Linked DNA regions of Callithrix jacchus. The protein of the gene in region 4 interacts with the protein of the main gene of each other region in a biochemical or structural test. Links are inferred from orthologs where the notes say so. Each region holds a gene or a part of one and is shown on either strand. Other genes may lie near its edges. The genes, in order: RAD18, POLD1, POLL, PCNA, CHAF1A, KMT5A and USP1.

Evidence for each region.
Region 1: of the proteins of PCNA (region 4) and RAD18, one has a biochemical effect on the other in vitro, tested with the Homo sapiens proteins (21 studies listed by BioGRID, with this or other methods). The link is inferred for Callithrix jacchus from reciprocal best matches to the Homo sapiens genes PCNA and RAD18.
Region 2: the proteins of PCNA (region 4) and POLD1 form a complex in vitro, tested with the Homo sapiens proteins (4 studies listed by BioGRID, with this or other methods). The link is inferred for Callithrix jacchus from reciprocal best matches to the Homo sapiens genes PCNA and POLD1.
Region 3: the proteins of PCNA (region 4) and POLL form a complex in vitro, tested with the Homo sapiens proteins (3 studies listed by BioGRID). The link is inferred for Callithrix jacchus from reciprocal best matches to the Homo sapiens genes PCNA and POLL.
Region 5: the proteins of PCNA (region 4) and CHAF1A form a complex in vitro, tested with the Homo sapiens proteins (4 studies listed by BioGRID and IntAct). The link is inferred for Callithrix jacchus from reciprocal best matches to the Homo sapiens genes PCNA and CHAF1A.
Region 6: the proteins of PCNA (region 4) and KMT5A form a complex in vitro, tested with the Homo sapiens proteins (4 studies listed by BioGRID, with this or other methods). The link is inferred for Callithrix jacchus from reciprocal best matches to the Homo sapiens genes PCNA and KMT5A.
Region 7: of the proteins of PCNA (region 4) and USP1, one has a biochemical effect on the other in vitro, tested with the Homo sapiens proteins (6 studies listed by BioGRID, with this or other methods). The link is inferred for Callithrix jacchus from reciprocal best matches to the Homo sapiens genes PCNA and USP1.

What each region holds. Positions count from the first base shown.
Region 1 is NC_133516.1:66,167,892-66,172,101, reverse strand, and holds the start of RAD18 (E3 ubiquitin-protein ligase RAD18), read left to right. Parts: upstream 1-1,410; 5' UTR 1,411-1,497; coding exon 1,498-1,548; intron 1,549-4,210. UniProt on the Homo sapiens protein: E3 ubiquitin-protein ligase involved in postreplication repair of UV-damaged DNA. Postreplication repair functions in gap-filling of a daughter strand on replication of damaged DNA.
Region 2 is NC_133523.1:44,036,275-44,040,217, forward strand, and holds the start of POLD1 (DNA polymerase delta catalytic subunit), read left to right. Parts: upstream 1-1,143; 5' UTR 1,144-1,211; coding exon 1,212-1,312; intron 1,313-3,943. UniProt on the Homo sapiens protein: As the catalytic component of the trimeric (Pol-delta3 complex) and tetrameric DNA polymerase delta complexes (Pol-delta4 complex), plays a crucial role in high fidelity genome replication, including in lagging strand synthesis, and repair.
Region 3 is NC_133513.1:94,542,999-94,547,208, reverse strand, and holds the start of POLL (DNA polymerase lambda), read left to right. Parts: upstream 1-1,410; 5' UTR 1,411-1,486; coding exon 1,487-1,632; exon of another isoform or gene 1,633-1,854; intron 1,855-2,224; exon of another isoform or gene 2,225-2,242; coding exon of another isoform or gene 2,243-2,268; coding exon 2,269-2,429; intron 2,430-3,810; coding exon 3,811-4,105; intron 4,106-4,210. Other genes in the region: protein DPCD, read right to left, coding at 1,259-1,322.
Region 4 is NC_133506.1:12,558,577-12,562,767, reverse strand, and holds the start of PCNA (proliferating cell nuclear antigen), read left to right. Parts: upstream 1-1,391; 5' UTR 1,392-1,533; intron 1,534-3,986; exon of another isoform or gene 3,987-4,139; intron 4,140-4,191. UniProt on the Homo sapiens protein: Auxiliary protein of DNA polymerase delta and epsilon, is involved in the control of eukaryotic DNA replication by increasing the polymerase's processibility during elongation of the leading strand.
Region 5 is NC_133523.1:4,178,129-4,181,628, forward strand, and holds part of CHAF1A (chromatin assembly factor 1 subunit A), read left to right. Parts: intron 1-1,262; coding exon 1,263-1,489; intron 1,490-1,996; coding exon 1,997-2,165; intron 2,166-2,266; coding exon 2,267-2,347; intron 2,348-3,060; coding exon 3,061-3,153; intron 3,154-3,500. UniProt on the Homo sapiens protein: Acts as a component of the histone chaperone complex chromatin assembly factor 1 (CAF-1), which assembles histone octamers onto DNA during replication and repair.
Region 6 is NC_133510.1:126,589,766-126,593,265, reverse strand, and holds part of KMT5A (N-lysine methyltransferase KMT5A), read right to left. Parts: intron 1,728-3,500; coding exon 1,668-1,727; intron 427-1,667; coding exon 236-426; intron 1-235. UniProt on the Homo sapiens protein: Protein-lysine N-methyltransferase that monomethylates both histones and non-histone proteins. Specifically monomethylates 'Lys-20' of histone H4 (H4K20me1).
Region 7 is NC_133508.1:99,537,403-99,540,902, forward strand, and holds part of USP1 (ubiquitin carboxyl-terminal hydrolase 1), read left to right. Parts: intron 1-192; coding exon 193-353; intron 354-1,825; coding exon 1,826-2,511; intron 2,512-3,500. UniProt on the Homo sapiens protein: Negative regulator of DNA damage repair which specifically deubiquitinates monoubiquitinated FANCD2. Also involved in PCNA-mediated translesion synthesis (TLS) by deubiquitinating monoubiquitinated PCNA.

The DNA.
Region 1 (4,210 bases), on a different chromosome or scaffold from region 4:
CTTGTGAATAAGTCAAATAAGTGCATATGTGTAAAAAACTTAGAATGGTGTTTTGCATACACGTGCCTAATAAATGCCAGCTACTACTGTAATGGATACTAAAGTCCTTTCTCTTTTTTTTGAGACGGAGTTTCGCTCTTCTTACCCAGGCTGGAGTGCAATGGCGCGATCTTGGCTCACTGCAGCCTCCGCCTCCTGGGTTCAGGCAATTCTCCTGCCTCAGCCTCCTGAGTAGCTGGGATTACAGGCACGCGCCACCATGCCCAGCTGATTTTTTGTATTTTTAGTAGAGACGGGGTTTCACCATGTTGACCAGGATGGTCTTGATCTCTTGACCTTGTGATCCACCCGCCTCAGCCTCCAAAGTCTAAAGTCCTTTCTCTAAATGCTATTAGTATTAATATTACTGCCCAGTAAGTATTTGGGTGCAAGCTGGGAAAAATCAATTGAATACAGCTTTGGCTAAGAGACTAGAGGGTTCTTATGAAGAGAACTCAGAGGAGTGAAGTCTTAAGCTTTCTGAGCCTCAGTGTCCTCATTTGTAAGATGGCCATAACAGTCTAATCTCTGCCTGCTTCCCAAGAAAGCTCAAGTGCCTGGCCCGTTGTAAGCATTCAGAAAATATTTGTGAAATGAATCAGTGCATGGACCACGTGGGGCGTGTTCTTCATCTTAAGCCTCAATGGGCTCCAAAATGTCCCTTCCTAGATTCTACAAAAAGAGTGTTTCCAACCTACTGAATCAAAACAGAGGTTTCAACTGTGTGAGAATCCACACATTGCAAGGCATTTTCAGATAGCTGGTTTCTAGTTTTTATTGTGGGATATTCGGATTTTGCCATGAGCCTATATGGATTCCGAAATGTCCCTTCCCAGATTCTTGCTAACTTGGTGGGAATATCAAGGGCAAGGATTCAAGGGTGGGGATATTGCTAACTTGATTTAGCAGAGTTCTTTGCTAAAACTGGATTTTATCACGAAGTACACAGATTGGCCTAGGAGAAGGTTCAGGAGCCTGACTAAAGTTTGGTCAAGCCAAGAATCTTTGCCAATTTGCATAGGAAATATCTGGAAGGCTATATGCCGAAGTTAATAGTGCTTCTCTCTGAAGAAAAACTGTACATTAAAATTTTAATATGATTAAAAGGAAGAGCTCCTATTTAAACTCCAGAGGTCCTGTTTCGAATCTGACTCGAAACTCTATTCAGCTTTTCCGGAGTAGTTTCCGCTTGTGTAAACTGACAATGATAACACCTACCTCCCAGTGTTGTAATATGGGAGAGATATTACACAGTAGCGGACATAGCCTAGCGCAGGCGCAGTACAAGCACCATCAGCAGCGCCCCGCCCACATCCTACTACAATTTCCGGCAGGCTCCGCGCCCGCCTCTGGCGCGTCGCGGGTTGTGACGTAATGCGATAGCGCGGGGAATTTCGAGTGGTATTGGAGCGCCGGAGGCTAGTTGAGTGGTAGACCCCAGCATCTTCAGGAGCGACCATGGACTCCCTAACCGAGCCTCGGTGGCCGCCGGGCCTGGCAGTTATGAAGGTGAGTGCTTCGGGGAGGTTGGGGGCTCCCGGGTGCCTGCGGGGGGCGGTCCCTCCCTTTGAGGAGGATGTCCTCGCCTTGAGGAGAAAAAATGAGGCGCGAGAGTCGCACTGGGCCATAGTACCCGGCTCTGCTCTGTCACTAGCCGACCGCGTGGCTCTGGGTCTCAGTTTACTCCTTTGATAAGTGACAAGGACAAGCTTGGTGAGCTGAGGTTGACAGTCTAATGGAACCAGATATTCTGCGATCCAATCCGAACAGTAACATGGAGAAAAACAGCTGTTCTAAACAATGACATTGTCAGCTAACCTTCACTGAAAGCTTACTTTGTGTCAAGCACTAAACAGTGACACCGGACATGATTTTGGGTGGACACTTTATCAAGTAACATGTATGTAATCACGTAGCCAAGCAGGTAGTCTCCTTTACAGGCTCTTCTGATTATTCTCAATAAACCTACTGCTGGTTTGTACCGACATACTGCCCCAGCTCCTCCCTCACACGTCCTATCTCTTCTGTAACAATTGCTCATCTCTCTGTCTTTTAAACAAAGATCAAGATTCAGCAGTCATCTTTCATTGCATCGAATTATTTCAGTTAAATAACACTTATTTTTGTAGCCACTTTCTGTTTTGGCAAGGCAACAGTTTCCATTTACGTAGTGGTGGTCCCTGGATTTGCTCAAGAGCAGATGCACATTCCCGTGCTGGCTAAAAGTCAGTTGTTTGGTGTTTCTTTTTGCTCTGTGATTATTTTTGTTTCTGACAGTGGCTAAGATAGCCTTTTTCTCTTCCTCAGTTTTGTAGTCTTGGGGATTATAGTATCTGTCCCACTGGCTCATAAAGTTGACTTTAGAATTAAGTGAAGGCTAAAATAAGTATAAGGCCTTGTTCTTCCTGCTGTCATCCGTGATATTTAGAGGTCTTGGGGACTTGAGATATCTGCATGACGAGAAGCTGACATTGTGAAAGGATCCAGGAAAGCGGTGGTTTCGAAGTTGTGATGGGCTTGGCACCAAGATGCCGTGGAAAAGAGCACAGATTTGAATTCTAGTGGTCCTGGGTGAAATCTGATCTCTGCCTCTTAGCTGTGTGACCTTCAGTTAGTAACATAACCTCTCTGAGCCTGAATTTCTTCAACTATAAATTAGAGACAAAAATAAACAGTTCATAGGGTTGATTAAATAAATGAGTTCATGTGTGTGGGTGCAGATTCTGCAGGCTTATTCATTGTGCTTGATGCGGTGCCTGACAGAAAGTGAGTGCTCAAGTATTATTTGCTGCTTGATTGAAAGTATCTGGAATGTAGTAAGCATTCAATGAATATATTTTATTACTATTATTAGCACTGTGCTAAGTGCTTCTCTCCCCTTTTAATTTGTTGTCATGAAGCTTGATTTGGATAAGGAAAGTAAAAGAACTCTGTAACCTGTAAAGCTCCTGCTTTGTAGATTTAAGCATATTTTACATATTCCCACAATTTCAGTGTTCTTTAGAGGCAGGTTCCATGTCTTCTCTGACTTTGGTATCTCACCACGGCACTGAATATAGAGTTTGATACCACAGAGTGTTCAGTGATTGTTCAACCAGAGAGTTGATTGAGCCCATATTTTTTGCTCACATTAGAATCATAGAATCTTAAGGTTTGGAAACCAGCCTCCTTCATTATTTTAAACTCTTTTATAACATATCTGCCAATTTCTCACCTAATTTTTGCTTGAACTCTTCCAGGGACAAAGAACTATCAGATCCCAGAAGTGGATCTGACTAAAGTTACTTCTAATAGAAGTCTGACTCAGAATGCATGGTTCCTGACTTAGGATCCGTAGAAAGACTTCGGAGTCTCAAGTTATTTGTAGAATTTTCGTATATATGTTTTTCTGAGAATAGAGTCCATAGTTTTCATCTAATTTTCAAAGGGATCTGTAACCCCAAAAACTTGGGTATTTTTGTAAGTATTATGTTTTTCTACCCATTTTCTACTCCCTTTCACTTTCTCTCTCTCTAAACTAAAGACATTTTGGGGTGTCTGCTGACCACTCTCTATTCAGGCATCGTTTTTTGTTTGGTTGGTTGAGGCACATGTGATACGCATATTACAGTCTTGGAGAGACATGACCAGAAATTTGAACCCGAAATAGCTCATCTTATGGAGTGTCAACTTCCACAAATTGTGCTCTGCAGATCTTTCTGAATCATTACTCCACCGAAGAGAATGGCATAGATAAGAAAGAGTGGTATGACAGACTGGTTCCGGCTTCTGGGCCTGCCTCTGATCTTAATTGATCTTTAACATTAACCCTCTAGATTTTTGTGTCTGTGACAGCTTACCATCCACAATAATGGAAGATTTTGGCATTTTATTATTTCCCTGGTTTTATTTTAGCAAAATTGGACTCTTTTTGGCATATTGTAAATGTAATAGGTGTACACAGTAGAAAAAAATTAAAATTCAGAGTAAGATAAAGGTGAAAAAGAAAATCATCTGTAATCCTACCACCCAGAGAACCAGTGTTTAACATTTTACCTTATTTTCCTTCAGTTTTTACGCATTTAAAATTTGGGATCATTGTGGAGTCAACTTCTTGGGTTTGATTCAGCCAACCTAGGAACTCTGAAGGCTTTGTTTTTAAAATTGGGGTACTGATGCTGTGGACTTTATA
Region 2 (3,943 bases), on a different chromosome or scaffold from region 4:
CTGCATTGATTACTTGCATTGTCCAATTACTTGGGAGGCTGAAGTGGAAGGATCATTTGAGCCCGGGAGATGGAAGCTGCAGTGAGCTGTGTTCATGCTGCTGCACTCCAGCCTGCACAACAGAGCAAGACCCTATCTCAAAAAAACATACAGGTCGGGTGCGGTGGCTCATGCCTGTAATCCCAGCACTTTGGGAGGCTGAGGCAGGTGGATCACCTGAGGTCAGGAGTTCAAGACTAGCCTGACCAATATGGAGAAGCCCCGATTTTACTAAAAATACAAAATTAGCCAGGGATGGTGGTGTGCACCTGTAATCCCAGCTACTCTGGAGGCTGAGGCCTGAGAGTTACTTGAACCTGGGAGGTCGAGGTTGCAGTGAGCCAACATCAGGCCATTGCACTCCAGCCTGAGCAACAAGAGGAAAACTCCATCTCAAAAAATATATATATGAATAAAAACAAAGCTGTGAGATTGGGCGAGATTGGAAGAGGTCATCGAGGGAATGAGCGAGTGTCTTGCTCATCAAGAAAACCAGCATCTGGCCTGCAGTGAGCATGTAGTGTCGTTTTATTGCTGACTCTCTGTTAAGTGCTTGCTCGTGAGAGAGGGCAGAGGCCAGTGTTTGCCAAGCTCTCATCCTGTGCCAGGGCACATGAGAGGGGGTACACGGGGGCCTTTCCTTCCTAATACTGCTCTCCTTCCAGTCTGTACCAACAAGAGCCTGGGTTTTGCGCCTGCTGACACCGTCCCTCCTACCACACCCCTGTAGCCACAGCCAACTGACCTCGGGCAGCCAGTCAGCCCCTTCCTTCCTCCGGGTCCGGCAGTGACTCTGGGCTCCCACAAGCCCCTGCACTTCCTCTGTCCCAGCCGGGTCTCTCCCTGCAGGTCATCACTCCCTGTCCGTCTCTGGCTGCTTACACAGCCGGAGCAAGGGCCACTAACTGAGCTTGCTTCTTCCTGTGAGATAAGTCACTCATGTACACAGTTGTCACCCGAAGAACGCAAACGCGGAGTCAGTTCAAGTCTTCCTCATACGAAACCCCCCGCACACATTCACGGGTGCTCCACTCACGAACAGTGGAAACAAGCCACCCTGATGTCCATCTGCCGATGAGCGGATACGTAAAACGTGTTCTGGCCATACGGTGGAAAAGTACTCAGCAAAAAAGGAACGCAGCTCTGCTTCCAGGCCACCACGCGCATGAACGATGAACGCATTCAGAGAAAGCAGCCAGACACCAAAGGCTGCAGATTCCAAGATCCCATTTATAGGAAATGCCCAGAATAGGCCAATCCATGGAGACAGAAAGTAAGATGGGTGGTTGCCAGGGGTGGGGGCAGATGGGCTGAATCGGGGGAGCTAACGGAGGTAGGGTTTTCGGGGTGATGAAAGAGTCCTAAAATTGATTGTGGTGACGACTGCCTAACTGAACATACTAAATACCATTGAACTATATATACTTACTTTAAAGGGGTGAATTGTATAGTATGCGAATCACAGCTCAGAAAAGCAGTTACCAAATGGAGGCTTCTTCCACCCCGTCCCCTGGAAACCAGTTTCTTAGCTCTCCTTGCAGAACAATGCATTCAAAGCAAACTGATTTATACCTAGTCTCTGCGTTAAAAGCAAAATGATTTATACGTACTCTTCTGCCCACCTTGTCAAATTGTTACTATTTCCATTTTATATATTTCCCTCTTAATATTTTGAAAAGTTTGAAACCTGCAGAGAAGGTACAGATTAAGCACAGTGAACAGGCTGTCGGCGCGACACCTCCTTTGCTTTATCCAAGCACACACATAGACTTGTGCTTTTGTCCTTTTTTGAGATGGAGTCTCGCTGTCTCGCCCAGGCTGCAGTGCAGTGGCACAATCTCGGCTCACTGCAACCTCTGCCTCCTGGGTTCAAGCAATTCTCCTGCCTCAGCCTCCCGAGTAGTTGTGATTACAGGTGTGTGCCACCGCACCCGGCTAATCTTTGTGTTTTTAGTAGAGACGGGGTTTCACCATGTTGGCCAGGATGGTCTGGATCTCCTGACCTTGTGATCCACCTGCTTTGACTTCCCAAAGTGCTGGGATTACAGGCGTGAGCCACCGCACCCAGCCCCTTCTGTCCTTTTCTTGGCTGAACTACTGAAAGCTGTGGTCATCGTGATACGTCACCTCTGAAAGATCTAGCAGTTGACACCTTTTTTGGTACAAGAACTCACTCTGTCATGCAGGCTGTAATGCAGTGGTGTGGTCACAGCTCACTGCAGCCTTGACCTCCCCAGGCTCAGCTGATCCTCAGCCTCCCAAGTATCTGGGACTAAAGGTGAATGCCACTGCACCCTGCTAATTTCTGTATTCTTTTATAGAGACAGGGTTTCACCGTGTTGCCTAGGCTAATCTGAAACTCCTGGGCTCGAGCAATCCCCTCCTCGGCCTCCAAATGTCCTGGGATTACAGCCGAGAGCCACCGTGCCTGGCCTCCAGCAGTCAGCTCTTAAGAACAAGATGTCCAACCGCACAACTACAGTGTCGTCATCGTCACGCAGTTTAACGTGACACGGTGACGTCATCCAATAGACAGTCTTTATTTAGATCTGCCCCGTGTTCCTGTAATAGTCTTCAAAGCTATTAATAATTTCTTTTTTTTTGAGACTGTGTCTCACTCTGTTGTCCAGGCCGGAGTGCAGCGGCACGATTTCCGCTTGCTGCAACCTCTGCCTCCCGGGTTCAAGCAATTCTGCCTCAGCCTCCTGAGTAGCTGGGACTATAGGCACACACAACCAAGCCCGGCTACTTTTTTTTTTGTATTTTTAGTAGAGACGGGGTTTCGTGTTGGCCAGGCTAGTCTCGAACTCCTGACCTCAGGTGATCCGCCTGCCTCAGCCTCCCAAAGTGCTGAGATTACAAGCATGAGCCACCGCACCCAGCCCATAATTTCTTTTTTTTTTTTAATCCAAGTTCTAACCTAGGATCACACACATTTAGCTGTCACAGCAACTTTTTCTTTCCTCTTTTTGAGACAGGGTCTTGCTCTATCATTCACCAGTACAGTGGTGCAATCACGGCTCACTGCAGCCTTCACCTCCCAGGCTCAAGTGATCCTCCCACCTCAGCGTCCGAGTAGCTGGAACTATACATATGCACCACCATGCTTAACTAATTTTTAAATTTTTTGTAGAAATTGGGTCTTACCATGTTGCTTGGGCTAGTTTCTAACTCCTGGCCTCGAGTGACCATCCCACCTCAGCCTCCCAAAGTGCTGGGATTACAGATGTGAGCCCCTAGCCCAGGCGACTTTCTTCTTCATGACAGTGACAGTCTTAAAGGTTTCAGCGCAGTATTGTCACCCTGCACTTTGGATTGGTTTGTTTCTTTGTTTTTGTTGCTTGTTTTTTTTTTTTGACTGTTGTTGTTTGGTTTTTTTTTGTGACAGAGTCTTGCTCTGTCACCCAGGCTGGAGTGCAGTAGCATGATCTTGGCTCACTGCAACCTCCACCTCCCAGGTTCAGGCGATTCTCCTGCCTCAGCCTCCCGAGTAGCTGGGCTTACAGCTGCCCACCACCATGCACAGCTAATTTTTGTATTTTACTGGAGACGGGGTTTCACCATGTTGGTCAGGCTGGTCTCAAACTCCAGACCTCAAGTGCTCTGCCTGCCTCAGCCTCCCAAAGTGCTGGGATTACAGGTATGAGCCACTGTGCCCCAGTGATTCGTTTCCTAATGACTAGAATCAGGGTAAACATTTTCTTAGACCTTTTTTTCAACCCAAAAGATAAAACTCTGAGTGCACCTTTGTGCACCTTGCTTTAGCTACTGAACAGTGCCTCTTTGAGAACCTTCCCTATCAGTACACAAGGAGCTTCCTCATTTCTTTACACAGCTGCATAGTATTCCATGGAACGGACTTAACATAACTTATTTAAACAGCCCCCTAGGGAAGGACAGTTAG
Region 3 (4,210 bases), on a different chromosome or scaffold from region 4:
AACTCCTGAGCTCAAATGATCCGCCTGCCTTGGCCTCCCAGAGTGTTGGAATTATGGGCATGAGCCACTGTGCCTGCCCTTATTAATTATTTAGGACCCAGAAACATCATCACTTCTCTTGGGTCTTTCCCCAAAGAGGTATCATATACACTTTCATTATTTCCTACCATTTTATACAAGATTACACCTCTATTTAGCACATCTTATTATTTGCATACATGTTTTTCCCAACCACTGTAAGTCCTGGGACAACATATCTTTTTCTTTCAGTTCAAGTTTAGAGCTTGGCACATAGTAAAAGCCTCCCTAAATGTTGCACTAAAGGGCAAATGATTTTAATTTCCACCAACTTTAGGCTGCCTTGACTGGCCTCTACCTGTGAATGTGAATCACCTGCTGTTATCTTCGAAACCTCAGGAACTTCAGACCCAATTCAACCTGGCTCCCCAGTGGGTCCAGAAAGGACCCAAGTGCACAGAGGGGCGACATCGGCCAATCCTAGGGTGGCAAAAAGTTAGGTATCCATGCCCCTGTGCCCACCTCTTCCAGGCACAGCCCTTGGTCCTTGCTCTAGCTCTCCTAAAGACACAGAAAACATTAAGAGGTTCACTTTAGGCCGGGAGTAGTGGCTCACGCCTGTAATCCAAGCACTTTGGAGGCCAAGACGGGCGGATCACCTGAGGTCGGGAGTTCAATACCAGACTGACCAACATGGTGAAACCCCGTCTTTAAAAAAAAAAAAAGACGTTCACTTTACAAAAATATTACAGCTGGAAAGGGCCTCAGTGGTAGCCCATCCACTTCATTTTACAGACGATGAAAGTGAGGTCCAAACAAATTAAAGGGCTGAAGAGCCCGTGGTGAATTAATGGCAGAGTCGGAACTACAGCCCAGGCCTCTTTCCTCTCTAAAGTCTGAAGCATTCTTGGAGTTCAGTTTCCTCTTCTGTAAAACGGGGTGAAAAATTAACCTCTCAGGACAGTGGTGAGGAGCAAATGAGATAATGAATGTGAAAGAAATTATTATATTAGCAACAAACTCAAAGCAGAGCGAGTTGGTGTAGAGGAATCTAATCGGTGTCCGGAGACCTGTGTTCCAGTCACGTCATCTCTGAGCCTCAGTCTCCTCATCTACAAATGCAGGGACCTGGCCCAGCTGACTGCCGAGACCCTTTCAGCTCTGCAGACCCTGAGGCCTTTCCTGTGGGGTGGACCCTGGGGGGAAAAAACGAGGGAGCTCGCGAGGGCTCTCGAGTTACCATCCTGCAGCAGCGCAGTCTTCTCGGCCGTCCGCAGACTCTCCAACCATCCCGTCACCGCCATCTTTCCTCTGCCAAGCAGCGCGCCCGGCCGCTGCCATGGCAACCGTTCCACTGAGGGTCACTTCCGGCTGACTCGGAAGCTATTCTGGGCATTTGCTCGCTTTTCCCCCTTCGTCCGCTCTCATTGGCTCTCCTGGTAAGTGATTTATTCCTGCCCACCTGCGAATGATCAGCTTGGCCAGTTGTCTAACCCACCCGGGGACCGACTTCGGGGGTTGGAGAGGGACTCTTGGAGCCTGGGTCGGGCGCTGCAGCTTTCCTCTAGCCCGGAGCTGGGATTCCCCGGCCTGCGCCAGCTGCGTACGCGTCGGGTACAGCACACCTGCCCGGGTCTTCTCCATCCCCAGCTGCGAGACTGAGACTCCTCCAATCCGGAGGGTGCCTCACACCTGCTGCGGCCGTGCCCTATCTCCCCGCAGCTGTGGGGCTGAGCACCCCCGTGCCGAGAGGCTGAGACCAGGGCAGGTGCAGGGCGTTCCCACTCACCCCCGAAAGTCCCCCTCCTTAGGTTTTCCTCTGCAACTGTGTTGAAGGTAGAGAAAGATTATGTGGGGTTTATGGTGCAGGTTCTCCCCAGTCTCCGCTCCACTCCCTAGCCCAGTATCCCATTTTGGTAAAGCCCTTCAGAAGGGGGCTGCAGCAGTAGGGCTGTGCTGAATCTTTAGAGCAACCCCAGTGAGGAATGGTGTTGTTTCCTGCTCCTCAAAAGTACCCCCAATGGTCCCAGTCTTCTCATTTCCCCCTAATACTCCGAAAGACTAATACTTTGAAAGGCTGGGGAGTGGGAAGCTAGGCTACACCAGTGAAGTTTAATGGGGTTTGAGGAGACCCCCCCCCAGCACTGTCTCCCCGAACTGGGCTGCTATCCCTAAGGCCTAGTCAGGGAACACCCTACCTCCACAGGCAAATAGGTTGGAGAGCATGAATTTTGAATTTCCACATGACAGCTGCCCTGGTCAACCCTCTGACAGACCGAGATCTAGCCGTACTTCAATGGATCCCAGGGGTATCTTGAAGGCATTTCCCAAGCGGAAGAAAATTCATGCCGATGCATCATCAAAAGTACTTGCAAAGATTCCCAGGAGGGAAGAGGGAGAAGAAGCAGAAGGTGAGTTAACCGACCCTCAGAACCCTCATTCCCTTGAACCCTCAGCCTTCATGTGCTTCAGCCCTACGTTGTTCATGTCCAGAATCAGATATTGGAGCTGACTTTGCCTGTCCAGGGCTTGCAGGTCTGTTTGTACCTGCTTTGTACTAAGCTTGGTCCTGGGTCTTGGACAGGCCATTTGCTGTGTTATCTTCTTTTCTACCCAAAGACCTCTATAAATCAGAAAGGACTCCCTGGACTCTCAGGGAATGACCAGTAGAATTTTTGCCTTGGGGGACAAGCAGAAATCCCCTCCATTACCCAGGTTTGATGTTAGTTGTTTTGCAGGCAAATTGACAAATAAATGGCAGAGGCTTTGGGGACAGGATTGTCAGGTCTGGCAGACTGTAAGGGCAAGAAACATGTAATGGCAAGAAATATGTGCTTTGTTGAAAGAATAAATGGTAAGGGATTCAAAGTAAGGAGGGAAGCGGAGTGTGGCGGCTCATGCATGTAATCCCAGCACTTTGGGAGGCTGAGGCAGGCAGATCACCCGAGCTCAGGAGTGTGAGACCAGCCTGGGCAACATGGCAAAATCCCGTCTCTGCTAAAAATACAAAAAATTAGCCAGGTATGGTGGCACACACCTGTAATCCCAGCTACTTGGGAGGCCAAGGCACGAGAATTGCTTGAACCTGGAAGATGGAGGTTGCAGTGAGCTGAGATCATGCTACTGCATGCACTCCTGCCTGGGCGACAGAGTGAGCCTATCTCAAAAAAAACAAAAACAAACAAAGTAAGACGGGAGGAGGCATTAATTCAACAGATATTTGCAGGTTACTTACAATGTGCCAGACACTTCTAGGTTGCACCAGGAAACAGGATGTATCCTTGTCCCGGGTGGGCGAGGTGGCTCATGCCTGTAATCCCAATACTTTGGAAGATCAAGGTGGGCAGATCATGAGGTCAAGAGATCGAGACCACCCTGGCCAACATGGTGAAACCCCGTCTCTACTAAAAATACAAAAATTAGCTAGGCATGGTGGTGCATGCCTGTAATCCCAGCTACTCGGGAGGCTGAGGCAGGAGAATCACTTGAACCCAGGAGGCGGAGGTTGCACTGAGCTGAGATCACACCATTGCATTCCAGGCTGGGCAACAGAGTGAGACTCCATCTCAAAAAAAAAAAATTTTTTTTTTTGTCTCTTACATTCAAGTGCTGGCCTGTGAGAAAATTTGCTATATGTAGAAGGGAAACTGGATGGAAGGGAAATGCTTATTTTCAGGGTAGGAGACTGTAAACACTTCATTCAGATCATGTTAGATGTTATGTTGTAGCCAGGGGGTGGCAGATAAAAATAAAAATGTTACGACAGTAGTCATCTGGATATTCCTTCCACAGAGTGGCTGAGCTCCCTTCGGGCCCATGTTGTACGCACTGGCATTGGACGAGCACGGGCAGAACTCTTTGAGAAGCAGATTGTCCAGCATGGTGGCCAGCTATGCCCTGCCCAGGCCCCAGGTGTCACTCACATTGTGGTGGATGATGGCATGGACTATGAGCGGGCCCTCCGCCTTCTTAGATTACCCCAGCTGCCCCAGGGTGCTCAACTGGTGAAGTCAGCCTGGCTGAGCTTGTGCCTTCAGGAGAGGAGGCTGGTGGATGTAGCTGGATTCAGCATCTTCATCCCTAGTAGGTGGGCTGATCCCAGTCTTTTTTTCAAATGTTTCTAGTAGCATCTTGAGCTCTCTTCTTAAATTGTTAAAAATAACTACCATTAATTAAAAAATTAGCCAGGCAT
Region 4 (4,191 bases):
TAGTCCAAGCTCCCTCAATCCATTCTACACATCACTGCCAGATCAGTTTTCCAAATACAGGACTCCTGACCACTGCTATCTCGGAAAGCACAACTACAACTACAAAGTCCTATGCTGCCATTCAATGTCCACAGTAATACAACTACTCCCTACCTTCCTCAACTCCCCTACACAGACCTTTCACTTCACCCAAAGGAATCTACTCCCACACCCGTCACCCCCCAGCCGCTGTCCCCGCCAAGATGGCCTCCTTCCTACTCTCCTCCCCTACTCACCAGAACCCATACGGCACAGGAAACAACCCATCAACTGGGAGGACTCCCTCCAACACCTGCTGATGACGGGGTGGCTCACTGCGTAACACACCTCTCTGCTCAAAGCCGATGATTTCCTGTCCAAGAAGGGATTTACATATGCCAGGAGGCAAATGCTATGGCCTTGTCCCGATTCCGACACCCCCCAAAATAATAACATTGCAAAAGGGAACGGAGAGCCTAAGTCGCGGTCAGAGGAGCCGCCTATCTGAGAAAGCTCTGCACATCTTCACCTCCAGGAAGGCCTCAGGGAGGTAGGGGGAGAGGGGGGTCCCGCAGTCAGCCCAGCGAGGCAGGAGGCCGTGCGCCACTCCAGGCGAGCTCCTTCCTGCGCCCCAGGGGAGCCACTCCAGCCAGACCCTGAGCCGGGACTCCGACCCGCCAACCCTTGACATGCGCGCAGCAAAGGCTAGGCACCCGAGGACCCATCGCGCTGCCCGGGGCCGCCGTCCGCCACGACAAGGGATCAGAGGACTAGAGGACCCCCCTGCGCGCGTCCCCACCGGGCCTCCTGGATGCGCCGCTGTCCCGGCCGCGCCCACCCCGAGGCTGCCGCTACCTTGTCCTCGGGCGGCGCATCCGGCTCGTGGGCCACCCTCTGCCTCAGCTCGGTCATCCTGGAAAAACCTGCCCGACGTCGCCGCGGGCGAGCAGCGCAGCAGCCAGGAAAGGCAGCTCAGCGCGGGCACGCGCGGACTCCCTCGGCCGGCCCCGCCCCGCCCGGGAGTCGCGCGGCTCCGAACAGCTCACAGTTCCCTTAGCAGCCCAGCAGCCAGCCCTGGAGCTCGGCCCCGCCCAGCGCCGTCACGGCCCTTTCACCCGGGCGGAGCAGGGTCTGCCTTCCCTGGCCCCGGCCCGCGAGCTCCTCCTCCCCGGAGGCGGGCTCGGAGCGAGTGCGCACGCGCAGCGCCGCCATCACGACCCGAAAGATCGACCAACGGCGCAAATACGCCAGGGACAGGGAGACGGGGGCGGGGCGGAGCAGAGTTGAGAGGCTCGCATTGGACGGCAGCGTCAGGGGCGGGAATAGGCGTGCGTTTCAGAGTCCGATTAGCCAATGGGAGCTCCTGCTTCAATGCAGATGGCTGAAGCTGGCGCCCTGGTTCTGGAGGTAACGGATTACCGACGGCGAGAGGCGCCACCCGGAGGCTCTAGCCTGACAAATACTTGCTGACCTGGGCTCTGAGCCCGCAGCAGCAAGGGCTCTTTCTTCACGCAAGTAAGTAGACGTTATTTAGGCCGAATGGAGAGGCCAGGTGAGCCGACCTGATTAAAAGCATTATCGCTTATCACATGATGAGAAGTGGAACCCACACTTCAATCTGCCTTGCTTTGCCAAGCGGTCTCTAGTACTTGTTGAGCGCTAACTGTATACTAGGCACTGAGCTGGGTAATCGCTTTAGTTGGCTTATCTCATTTAATCCACACATGGCTTGGAAGTGAGTATGATTTGCATTTTGCAGTTGAGATCTTCCTCAGTTTATTTATTTATTTATTATTGAGACAGAGTCTCGCTCTGTCGCCCACTATCTCAGCTCACTGCAGCCTCCTCCTCCCGGGTTCAAGCAATTCTGTCTCAGCCTTCCGAGGAGCCGGGACTACAGGCGCTCGCCACCACGCCCGGCCAATTTTTGTATTTTTAGTAGAGACAGGGTTTCACCATATCAGGCTGGTCTTGAACTGCTGACTTCAGATGATCCGCCCATCTTGGCCTCCCAAAGTGTTGGGATTACAGGCGTGAGCCACTGCACCGAGCCCTTCCTCACTTTCTAAAATTTGTCTTCTGGACTATGGAAAGGCTCAATAATTTTGAGCCAGGCTGGCCAACATAGTGAAACCCCATCGCTACCAGAAATACAAAAATTAGCTGGCCATGGTGGCGGGAGCCTGTAATCTCAGCTACTCAGATGGCTGAGGCAGGAGAATCGCTTGAACCTGGGAGGCAGAGGTTCCAGTGTGCGGAGGTCACGCCACTTGCACTCCAGCCTAGGTGACAGAGTGACATTCCATCTCAAACAAAAAATGATTTACTTTGACGGCTGCTAAAATTATTGATGGAGGGGCCATCCTAAAGTAACTAAATTTCTGGGGGAGGGCCAAGTGGAATAGGCTTTTTTAAAGCTCCCCAGGTGAGTCTAGAGTGCAGCCAGGATTGAGAATAATTCTGATACATATTACCTTATGAAGAAATTTGCCAGATACTACATAAAATAATTTATAGCATTTTCTCCCAGTATTCATTTTCTGACCAATACATTTTTACTGAAAAAAGTATAGAAAATACAGAAAATGCAAGAAAAATTTAAAATTATTTGTGGCACCATCAGCCAGATAATTACTGTTCATATTTATCTTCTTGCTTTTCCATTCCATTTACTGTACACATACACCCAGATATAACAATTTGAGAAAATTGGAATACCTTTGTTTATTCTGCTTCATAACGTGATTTTTCTCTTTATTAAGCTCTTTGCAAATCGTACGTTAGAGGCTAAACAATATTCCATCTTACAGATTTATCACAATTTACCTAACAAATGCAAACACTGTTAGACCTTAAGGTTATGTCCAATTTCTGGGGGAATTATTAATAATTCTGTAAGAGGCCAGGCACGGTGGCTCATGTCTGTAACCCCAGCACTTTGGGAGGCAAAGGTGGGAGGATCATTTGAGCCCAAGAGTTTGAGACCAGCCTAGGCAATATGGTGAAACCCTATCTCTCCAAAATATTAGCTGGGCTTGGTGGTGTTCACCTGTAGTCCCAGCCACTTGGAAGGCTGAGGTGGGAGGATCACCTGAGCCCAGGTCAAAGCTGTGGTGAGGTGAGCTCATGCTACTGTACCTCAGCCTGGATGACAAAGTGAGAACCTTTCTCAAAAATAATAATCATCGGGCGGGGCATGGTGGCTCACACCTGTAATCCCAGCACTTTAGGAGGCTGTGGCGGGCAGATCACAAGATCAAGACCATCCTGACCTACATGGTGAAACCCCGACTCTACTAAAACATTCAAAAATTAGCTAGGCATGGTGGCACACACCTGTAGTTCCAGCTACTCGAGAGGCTGAGGCAGGAGAATTGCTTGAACCCGGGAGGCAGAGGTTGCAGTGATCTGAGATGGCACCACTGCACGCCAGCCTGGTGACAGAGCAAGACTCCATCTCCAAAAAAAAAAAAAAATTGTCAGTCATCATCATCATTCTGTAAGAAACATTTTTTTTTTTTTTTTGAAACATAGTCTTGCCCTGTTGCCCAGGCTGGAGGGGAGTGTCGCAATTTTGGTTCACTGTAACCTCTGCCTCCCAGGTTCAAGCAATTTGTGCCTCAGCCTCCCAAGTAGCTGGGATTACAGGTGTGTGCCACCACACCCAGCTAATTTTTGTATTTTCAGTAGAGACAGAGATTCACTTTGTTGATCAGGCTGGTCTGGAACTCCTGACCTCAAGTAATCTGCCCACCTTGGCCTCCCAAAGTGCTGGGATTACAGGTGTGTGCCACTGTGCCCAGCTGCTTTTATTATTTTCTAATAGTTTAATATCTGATCAAAATTTACTTAATTGATTCTTTACTGATTCAATAGTACATTTACTAGATGTTAAAGTATCCTCTTAAAATGTAAATTGGATCATATCAAAGACCTGCTGTTGACAACGTTCGCTTGCACTTTTACAGAGCCTACAAAGTCCTGCAAGAGTTCACCCCAGCCTCTCTGCAACCTCACCGAAACCTCACCTTGCACCACTCTTACTCCAGATGCAACCTCACCTTGCACCACTCTAGCACTTAGTCTGAGTGCTACATCTAACTTGTCTGAATATATTCCAAGTATGCTGACCTTTATTTTTTTATTTTATTTTATTTTTTTTGAGACGGAGTT
Region 5 (3,500 bases), on a different chromosome or scaffold from region 4:
ATTTTACTTTCCATTTTTACTTGACTCTTGGTGCAGTGGAGCATTTTTTTGTGTTGGTTTCCCATTTTAGTTCTTCTGTGACTTGCCAATTCCTATTTTTTACCTATTTTTTTTTTTTAACAGAACTGACTCTTTTTTTTGGCCTGATCTGTAATACAAGTATTTTTTACAGTCTGGTATTTAATCCTCTGATATTTCATCTCAGTCTACTACGTCTTTGTTTACAGAGTCTTTTGTTATACAGAAATTTCTCCTTTTGGCCTTGTGCAGTGGCTCACGACTGTAATCCCAGCACTTGGGGAGGCCAAGGCAAGTGGATCACCTGAAGTCAGGAGTTCGAGACCAGCCTGGCCAACATGGTGAAATCTTGTCTCCAGTAAAAATACAGAAATTAACTGAGCGTGGTGGTGGGCACCTATAATCCTAGCTACTCATGAGACTGAGGCAGGAGAATCCCTTGAATTCGGGAGGAGCGGGTTGCAGTGAGCCAAGATCATGCCAGTGCACTCCAGGCTGCATGATAAAGCGAGATTCCATCTCAGAAAAACAGAGCAGTTGGAGACCAGCCTGGGCGACACGGTAAGACCCTGTCTCTAAATTATTTTTTTTTCTTTTGAGACGGAGTCTCACTCTCGCCCAGGCTGGGGTGCAGTGGCACCATGTTGGCTCAGTGCACCCTCCACCTCCTGGGTTCAAGTGATTCTTCTGCCTCAGCCTCCCTAATAGTGGGACTACAGGTGCCCACCACCACCCCTTGCTAAGTTTTTTATTTTTTTGTAGAGACAGGATTTCACCATGTTGTCCAGGCTGGTCTTGAACTCCTGACCTTAGGTGATCCACTGTCTTTGGCCTCCCAGAGTGCTGGGATTACAGTCCTGAGCTACTGTGCTGGCCCTTTTTTTTTTTTTTTTAAGCAAGGTTTGTTGAGATATAATTTACATGCAATAAAACACATGCTTTTCAGGACTTTCATATTGACAGATTACGGGGCCAGCTAACCATAATGAAGATACACACTGTTTCCATCACTCAAAACGCTCCCTTTTTGTCTGTCCCCACATCCTGTCCCTTGAGACTCCCAATCTGACCTCCATCCTATAGCTCTGGAAACTCGGCTCTGTGGATCTACATAGTGCCTGGGCTTTTGAGTCTGCGCCTTGCCCTTAGCCTGGTGAATCGCACCAGCACCCTGCTGTGTGTGTCCATGGTGGCCTCTTTCTCCCATTGCTTGAAGACCCCACTGGGTCTCTTCTTTATTTCAGACCCTTGCCGGCTCCTGTGGAAAGTTTGCCCCCTTTGAAATTAAAGAGCACATGGTCCTGGCCCCTCAGTGTCGGACTGTTTTCGACCCAGACCTCTGCAGTCAGCTAGACGAGCTCCTTCAGCAGCAGAACGGAGAATTATCCTTCTTGAAAGACCTCAAAGGCCGGCAGCCTCTGAGGTCCGGACCCACTCAGGTTTCCACCCAGAACGCAGACATTTTCAACAGGTCAGAGCCCAAGGAGGTTGGCCTTTGCCCACTAGTGATGCTGGAGGGCAGCTGCCCGAACCCTGGGTTCCCGAGGCAGGAGCTCTGGGGCCTTCTGCTGCTTGCCTTCTGCTGGCTCAGGAGTCCCTCCACCTGGCCTCGCTGTGAGCCCCTGAAGTTTTCCTTTTTCTGTCTTCCCAGCCCCTCCTGGAGGAATCTTATTTCCCTGCTGGGCTCCAGTGAAGGACACCCCCTGCTCTTGCAGATTTCCTGGCTCCATTGAACTCCCCTTGCTAAAAATGCTCTGGGCTGAACCTGGGCAGCCTTATTCCCTCTCCTCCTGCAGGCTGTACCCTCCTCCCTCTGTCCCTTGAGTCCACATTCCTGGCCTTTCTTTGGGGACAGGTAGTGCTGGTTTTTACAGTCTCCCAACTTTCTGGAATTGTCAGCCAGCTTCACTGGGAGGTCCCTGGGAGGTGTGTGAGCAAGTCTAGGGCAGCCCGATCCTGAGCCCAGAGTTTTCCTTAGTGATGTCGTGATTGTGGAGCCTGGGAAGGGCGACGGTGTTCCTGAGAGGAGGAAGTTCGGCAGGATGAAGCTCCTGCAGTTCTGCGAGAACCACCGGCCAGCCTACTGGGGGACCTGGAACAAAAAGACAGCGCTCATCCGTGCCCGAGACCCCTGGGCCCAGGACACGGTGAGCGGGCCCGAGCAGGCCTCCGTCCCTGTACCTCCTCGCTGTGCCCCATCCCTCTAGCCCCGAAGGCAGTCGTGAGTCCCGTGTGTTTCTTTTCTCAGAAGCTCCTCGACTATGAGGTAGACAGCGATGAGGAGTGGGAAGAAGAGGAGCCTGGGGAGTCCCTGTCCCATAGTGAAGGGGTAAGGACATACCCCAGCTGTGTTCACTCACGGACAGCTTTTGTTTGGCCTGCTGTGTGGTCTAAAACCCAAATCTCCCTTAACATCCACACTTCCAGCTTCGCTTGAAAAATCTCACCCTGGCGACACTCGCCTGTGTGGCTGCCTGGGGTAGGATCCTGTTCGCATCTGCACCGTGGCCCTGCAGCTCCATCTCATCTCCTGCCAGCCTGTGACTCACCACTTCCACCTGATGGCACAGCTGCTGTGACTTGGTGGCTTTCTGCTGATTGCTCACTGTCCGTCAGAAGGCCATGCCAGACAGATGTTCACAGCTTTTCCTTTTTTGGTCTAAGACAGTCTTGCTTTATCACCCGGGCTGGAGTGCAGTGGCGCCATCTTGGTTCACTGCAACCTCTGCCTTCTGGGTTCAAGTGATTCTCCTGCCCCAGCCTCTCTAGGAGCTGGGATTACAGGTGCCCAACTAAAATTCGTATTTTTTCTTTTTTTTTTTTTATACCTTGCATCCAGTTCCTGTGTAAAGTAGGCCTCACTAAAATTCGTATTTTTAGTAGAGATGGTGTTTCACCATGTTAGCCAGGCTGGTGTTGAACTCTTGAGCTCAAGTGATCCACCTACCTTGGCCTTCCAAAGAACTGAGATTAGAGGCGTGAGCCACCGTAGATGCACACTCTGCTTTTCCATCTGATGAACTCATTTGTTCTCCTTTTGAGGATGATGACGACGACATGGGAGAGGATGAAGATGACGACGATGGTTTCTTTGTGCCCCATGGGTACCTGTCTGAGGATGAAGGTGTGACAGAGGTGAGGGAGTGAAAGGGAGGTCACTGGCTCAGAAAAAGCTCATTCACAGACTGGTGGTCAGTGGCGTGACCTGGGAGGGTGACAGGAGTCCCCACCCAGCCATACGCGATTTGAACTGTGTTCCCAGCATGCAAGCTCACTTGTCGGAATGGCCTGAACTTAGCATCACTCGGGAGGGTGGTAAACATAAGAGGAAATTGCAAGTGAGCAGACACTGGTGAGGGAGCATGGCCGTAGCCTGTAGGTTAGAAGGCTGGAAACCACTCTATCGGGCGTACAGTCAGCATGCACCAAGACGTGTGCATCGTGAGTGTTGAGTTTGATGACTTAAAACAGTCGAGTGGATG
Region 6 (3,500 bases), on a different chromosome or scaffold from region 4:
AGGCTGGGCACGGTGGCTCACACCTGTAACCCTAGCACTTTGGGTTGGAAGGCCAAGTGGAAGGCCAAGGTGGTTGGATCATCTGAGATCAGGAGTTCAAGACCAGGCTGGCCAACATGACAAAACCCCATCTCTACTAAGTAAAATACCATACAGAATCAGGAGTTCCTGGCCCTTTGGGCTCTCCTCACTGCCCAGAAGACAGAAAAGCCACTCAAAGCAACAGTAGACTTACCAGTAGGTTTTGCTCAGATACTGAAAATAGTACATGTAGCAGCCCGTGGAAGGGTCCTGTGCGTACAGAGCCTCCCGCTTCTTAGCGTCAGTGATCTCAATGAGGTCCCCGTGGTATTCCACCACAAAGTCACCCCGAGAGAACTGCTTTGTGGCAATCACACCCCTGCCTTTGCCATCGATGAGGTCAATCTGTCAGGAGGTGATAAGAGAGGCTGTTGGCTCATAACAGCAATGGATGCCACCACGCACAGCAGGCCTCTGGAGAGCTGAGGGCTGATACCAGTCTTTCACAGCTGTACTGAGCTGTACCATAAAACTCACTTGCTTTACACGTACAGGTTGATGGGCTGTTTGAGATGGGTACATAGCTGTGCAACTGTCACTACAATCCAGCTCTAGAACATTTCTGTCACCCCACAGACTTGGTTCCTTGGTACTCATCTGCAAAGCACTGTTACATCAGAGCTCATGAGAGATCTGCTGGATGGAGACTGCCTCATTTTGTAGATGAGGAAACTGAGGCTTAGAGGGGCAGAGCCACGTGTCTGAGGCCCCACAGCTAGGCAGTGACATAGCAGGGACTCAAATCCACACTTGGTTTCTCTGCCTAGGGGCTGTGCTCTATGCCTTCCTAGGTGAACAGCAGGCCCAGTGTTCTGGGTCTGTGCCTCGCTCCACGATTTCTCTCCTGTGTCTCCTCATTCTATTCTACATGGAGTCAGAGGGGGTTGCTGGAGGGGTCCAGGACTTAAGCGGGGGTCCCCCTAAGTGGTGGGTGGAAGTGGAAGGTTTCTGAGCCCTAAGCCCTAATCCAGGCCTATCTGAGCCCCACTGTAGAGAGTTCCTTTCCTCTCACCCAAACTGGGTATGCTTGAAATGCAGTAAGAGAAAAGCACATTTCTTGGGCATTGTCATTATCTAGGAAAACAGAGTTTAAAAATTTATTAGTTTCTCCTTTTAAAAGTTTCCCCAGGCTTCAGCTACACATTGTATAGTCCCATTTATATAAAGTGTCCAGAAGAGCAACTCCACAGAGACAGAAAGCAGCTGAGTGGCTGCCAGGGGATGGGCGAGGGAGATTCGGGGATGGTGGGCAGTAATGGGAGGATGAAAAAGTTCTGAAATTTGACAGGGATGGTGGTTGCATTGCATTGTGAATGTACAAAAAGCCACTAAATTGTTTAACCACAATTTCTAAGAAAAGTTTCCCCTAAATAACATTTATATACAAGGCCCATTTATGTTTCCTTCATAAGGTTTTTCCTTAATGAGTTTTAGTGTTTGGCTCTTTCACAACCTAGTAAGAGTCTGACTGGTCCCCATGGCCATTAGAGGGTTAAAGCCACGTGGTGGCCACTCTCAGCCGAGGGACCAGGGAAGGCGAGTCTTCCAGCTTTAGCCATGATGCAGCCAGCACAGCAGCCCCTTACCTTCATTCCTTCTTCCTTCCCACTTTCAATCAATTCATCTATTCTTTTCCTTTCTTCAGACTGGGTAGAGAGAAAGAAAAATAGCATCAGCATCCTCTCCCAAGCCCATCGTGGGTAGCTTGAAGGCCTTGAGCCCTCATTGCCTAGGCCATACCCACCGGGTCACCATCGGCCTCATTTGGCATCATTGTGGATGATGGGTACCCAGTGATGCCAAAGCCCCCAAGTATCCCTTCTTTTCTCATCATCCATCTGTGTGGATGATCTGGGGTTCAACTAGATCAGGAAGGAAACAGTGGGGACCCAAGAACAGAATGGGGCTTGTAGATATGTTCTTTGCCCATGCAGCATGTTGTAAAATGTCCAACTTGCCCAAGTTTGAAAATCAGGTACAGCAGATCAGAGGCTGTGCCCTTTGGATGGGACACAGGCAGTCCACATCCCTCCATTCTGACGGCCCCTACTGCTGTCCATTTAGGATCGCTGAGCTTCACCTGTATAGAAGCTACCACCATGAATAAAAAGAGGACCTCCAATCCAGAGGGTCAATACAGCCCCGAACAGAGAACCAGGAGGAGGAGGCACTCCCAGATTCACCTCTCCTCGAAGGCCAACCCTCCTGTACCTACTTCCATCCCTAACCCTGGGTTCCACTACTCTGCCATCACACAGACACTATGAAACAAAAGGGAACCAAATGAAGACAGACCAGAAGCTCCAAACCAGTGTGGCTCCCCCCAAACCAGCATGTCTCGCTAGCACAGACTGTCACCAAACCAGATGGCACATGTCGAGAGCCCAGCACCAACTGCTGAGCTCAGCCCATTCCCCTACACAGAGGCCCAAACCAGCTTGCAGCAATCTGTGCTGGGAACCATGGTGAATGAGCAACATCAAGGGCAGTCCCAAACCCTGCCATCTCCTCTCCATCTCCATTCTCACTGCTGCCCTGAGCCCAGCCACCGCACCTCTCTAGTCACCGGGCTTCCACTCTGACCTCAGGGAACACTCAGTTCTCCACACAGCAGTCAGTGGCCTCTTTAAATTGTAAATGAGGCCAGGTGTGGTGGCTCTCTCCTGCAATCCCAACACTTTGGGAGGTCCAAGAGGAAGGATGGCTTAAGGACAGGAGTTAGAGACCAGCCTGAGCAACATATCCCGACACTGTCCCTACAAAAAATAAACAAGCTGGGTGTGATGGCACATACCTGTGGTCCCAGCTACTCTAGAAGCTGAGGAAGGAGAATTGCTGGAGCCCAGGAGGTTGAGGCTGCAGTGAGCCATGATTGCACCACTGCACTCCAGCCTGGGCAACAGAGTGAGACCCTGTCTTAAAAAAACAAAAACATGACTAGTCATGGTGGCTCACATCTGTAATCCTAGCACTTTGGGAGCTGAGGTGGGTGGATCACTTGAGGTCAGGAGTTCAAAGACCAGTCTGGCCAACATGGCAAAACCCACCTCTACTAAAAACACAAAAATTAGCTGGGTGGGTGACTGTAATTACAGCTACACGGGAGGCTGAGGCAGGAGAATCACTTAAACGCCGGGGTAGAGGTTGCAGTAGGCCAAGATTGCGCCACTATACCCTGGGAGACAGACTGAGTCTCAAAAAAAAAAAAAACCTTCCCAAAAACTTACTTAATAGTAATATACCTGATAAAACCTCACATATCAATATTAACCTTCAACATAAATGGATTAAATGTTCCACTTAAGAGATATGGAAGGGTCAAGAAGGTTAAAAAAAAAAAGAAAGATACACATATTGGTGGAATGGATTAAAAAAACAAAACTTGGCCGGGCGCGGTGGCTCAAGCCTGTAACCCCAGC
Region 7 (3,500 bases), on a different chromosome or scaffold from region 4:
TGCACACTCCAGCCTGGGCAACAGAGACTCTGTCTCAAAATAAAAAAAAAATAAGGTTGATTTGTCTATCCCATAAAATTAGTGCTATAATGCAACTTAGAAAAGCTAGTAAAGTGAGACAAAGACAAATGAAGAAGGCACTTAATTTGTTCACAAATAAAATTATTGGTTTGTGTGTTTCTTTCTTGACAGGGAAATTGCAAAGAAGATTCTTTGGCAAGTTATGAATTGATATGCAGTTTACAGTCCTTAATCATTTCGGTTGAACAGCTCCAGGCTAGTTTCCTCTTAAATCCAGAGAAATACACTGATGAACTTGCCACTCAGCCACGGCGACTGCTTAACACACTCAGGTATAGCCTATGATATAATTTTAGGGTTTCAATTTAGCTACTTGTTTATATCCTTGGAGGAGAATGATATGTGAACAAACAGAAATAAAGGGCAAGGAAAGTAAGAAACTCTAGGTCCACAGTCCTTTATATCCCAGAGGCTCTGAATACTGGAATTTTTTTTCATAAATTTGGTGCTAAATTCGTTAGATCTGAATATATTAGGCTTTTTATAGTCATTATTCATATTTATCTCTAATGTGAATATTCATACATCCTTCTATAGAAATAGGATCATGTTTAATTATAGAGTACTACCATATCATGTTGGTGATAAATATTTTACTTATACGTCGTATTATCTTTGAATCTGAAAATGTCTGAATTTCTAAATGCATGGTCCTCAGATTAGGAGTTATAGAACTATATTCAAAATATGTGTAAGAACCGTAAGTTCCAAATAATGTATTTTTGTTAATATGTGATTAGAGGAGAACTATTGGATAACTGGATTAGATTGCTTTTTGTTATTTTCTTAAAAATGAAACTTTATATATATAAAATAGCCTTATTCAAATAAAGTTATACTAATAGGGCAAGTCTTTAAAACAATCACTTAAGCATTTAGTTTAGAAATAGAACTAGGTGCAGTGTATTGCTACACCTTAGTTAAGAGGTATTGTAGGCTGGGCATAGTGGCTCACACCTGTCCCAGCACTTTGGGAGGCTGAAGTGGGTGGGTCATTTGAGGTCAGGAGTTCGAGACCAGTCTGGCCAACATGGTGAAAACCCACCTCTACTAAAAATAGAAAAATTGGCTGGGCATGGTGGTTCACACCTAAAGTCCCAGCTTCTTGGGAGGCTGAGGCAGGAGAATTGTTTGAACCCAGGAGGTGGAAGTTGCGGTGAGCCAGATTGCAACACTACAGTCCAGCCTGGGAGACAGAGCAAGTCTCCTGTCTCCAAAATAAAAAAGTATTATAACATGGTAACCAAGAGTGGGGTTTGACTACTGGCTTTTCATCCTAACTAGTTCTGTGACCTTGGGCAAGTTATTTAACCGCTGTGTGCCTCAGTGGCTATATCTATCTGACAATAGTGGTGGTGTAATAGTCCCTTATAGGGTACTATTGCTATTATGAAGATAATGTATATGTAGGAGATAAAGCATTTTGACTAAGACCTTGTATATGGTAAGCACTGTTAGTTATTAATATGTTTAGAAGAGGATCAAGTATATTAAATACATTATAAAATATATAAATATATTAAATATATTAATATATTTGGAAGAGGTTCAAAGTATTATAATGAAAAACAGATAAAATTTACTCTTTTAGTTTCAGGTAAGAAATTTCAAATTAGTGCTGAATGAGATTTAAAAATTAAATAATTTACAATATTCCTTACATGAATTCATTCCTATGTAGAAATAGTTTTATGTACTATATCTTTAAAACTAGAATAGATGAAATGGAAATTTTTATTTATAGGGAACTCAACCCTATGTATGAAGGATATCTACAGCATGATGCACAGGAAGTATTACAGTGTATTTTGGGAAACATTCAAGAAACATGCCAACTCCTAAAAAAAGAAGAAGTAAAAAATGTGGCAGAATTATCTACTAAGGTAGAAGAAATACCTCATCAGAAAGAGGAAATGAGTGGTATTAACAGCATGGAGATGGACAGTATGAGGCATTCTGAAGACTTTAAAGAAAAACTCCCAAAAGGAAATGGGAAAAGAAAAAGCGACACAGAATTTGGTAGCATGAAGAAAAAAGTTAAAGTATCCAAGGAACACCAGTCATTGGAAGAGAACCAGAGACAAACTAGATCAAAAAGAAAAGCTACAAGTGATACATTAGAGATTCCTCCTAAAGTAATTCCCAAGTATATTTCCGAAAATGAGAGTGCAAGAGCTTCACAAAAGAAATCAAGAGTTAAAATTAATTGGTTAAAGTCTGCAAATAAGCAACCCAGCATTCTTTCTAAATTCTGTAGTCTGGGAAAAATAACAACAAACCAAGGAGCTAAAGGACAATCTAAAGAAAATGAATATGATCCTGAAGAGGACTTGGGGAAGTGTGAAAGTGATAACACAGCTAATGGACTTGAATCTCCAGAAAATACTGTTATACCTGTAAATGTTAATGAAGTTAAACCCATAAACAAAGGTTAGTATAATTCTTAGACTTTGATAGGTAGGAGCATTAACAGCTATAGAATTAGAATTTTCTCTTCTTAGATACATATATAATATAATCTATGCATAAAATTGTTTCAAGAGAAGGAAATTTAACACTGAATGTGAACTATGGTGTTCTAAGTGCTATGCTTAAATTAGTGTGTGTGTGTATATATATATAATGTCATGAAAGTAATTTTAACTTACAGTTTATAAAGTAGGGAAGTTCAGCTGGGCCACGGTAGCTCACACCTGTAATCCCAGCACTTTGGGAGGCTGAGGCAGGTGGATCACCTGAGGTCAGGAGTTCAAGACTAGCCTGGTCAACATGGCGAAACCCCATCTCTACTAAGAATACAAAAATTAGCCAGGCATGGTGCATGCCTGTAGTCCCAGCTACTCAGGAGGCTGAGGCAGGAGAATGAGGCCGAGGTTGCAGTGAGTCAAGATTGTGCCACTGCACGGTAGCCTGGGTGACAGAGCAAGACTCTGTCTCAAAATAAAAAAGTAGGGAAGTTCAGTATATCTTAACGTACATTTAAAAGTACATTTCCCTTTATGCAGTGTTTGATGTAAACTCATGAAGGACATTGTATTCAGTGAAATATTTAAAGTAGAGACGAAGTACAGTCATGTTGCTTAACAACGGGGATATGTCTTGAGAAATGTGCTGTTTCATTGTGCGAATGTCACAGTTTACTTATACAACTAGACGGTAGAGCATACTACACAACTAGCCTATGTGGTATAGACCAGGGGTGTCTAATCTTTTGGCTTCCTTGGGCCACATAGGAAGAAGTGTCTTGGGCCACACACAAAATATACTAATGGTAGCTGATGAGCAAAAAAAAAAAAAAAATCACAAAAAAGTCTCATAGTGTTTTAAGAAAGTTTATGAATTTGTTATGGGCTGCAGGCAAGCTTTGAATGGCCTATTGCTGTTAGGTAACCTGTACATCATATAACTATAGTGAATAC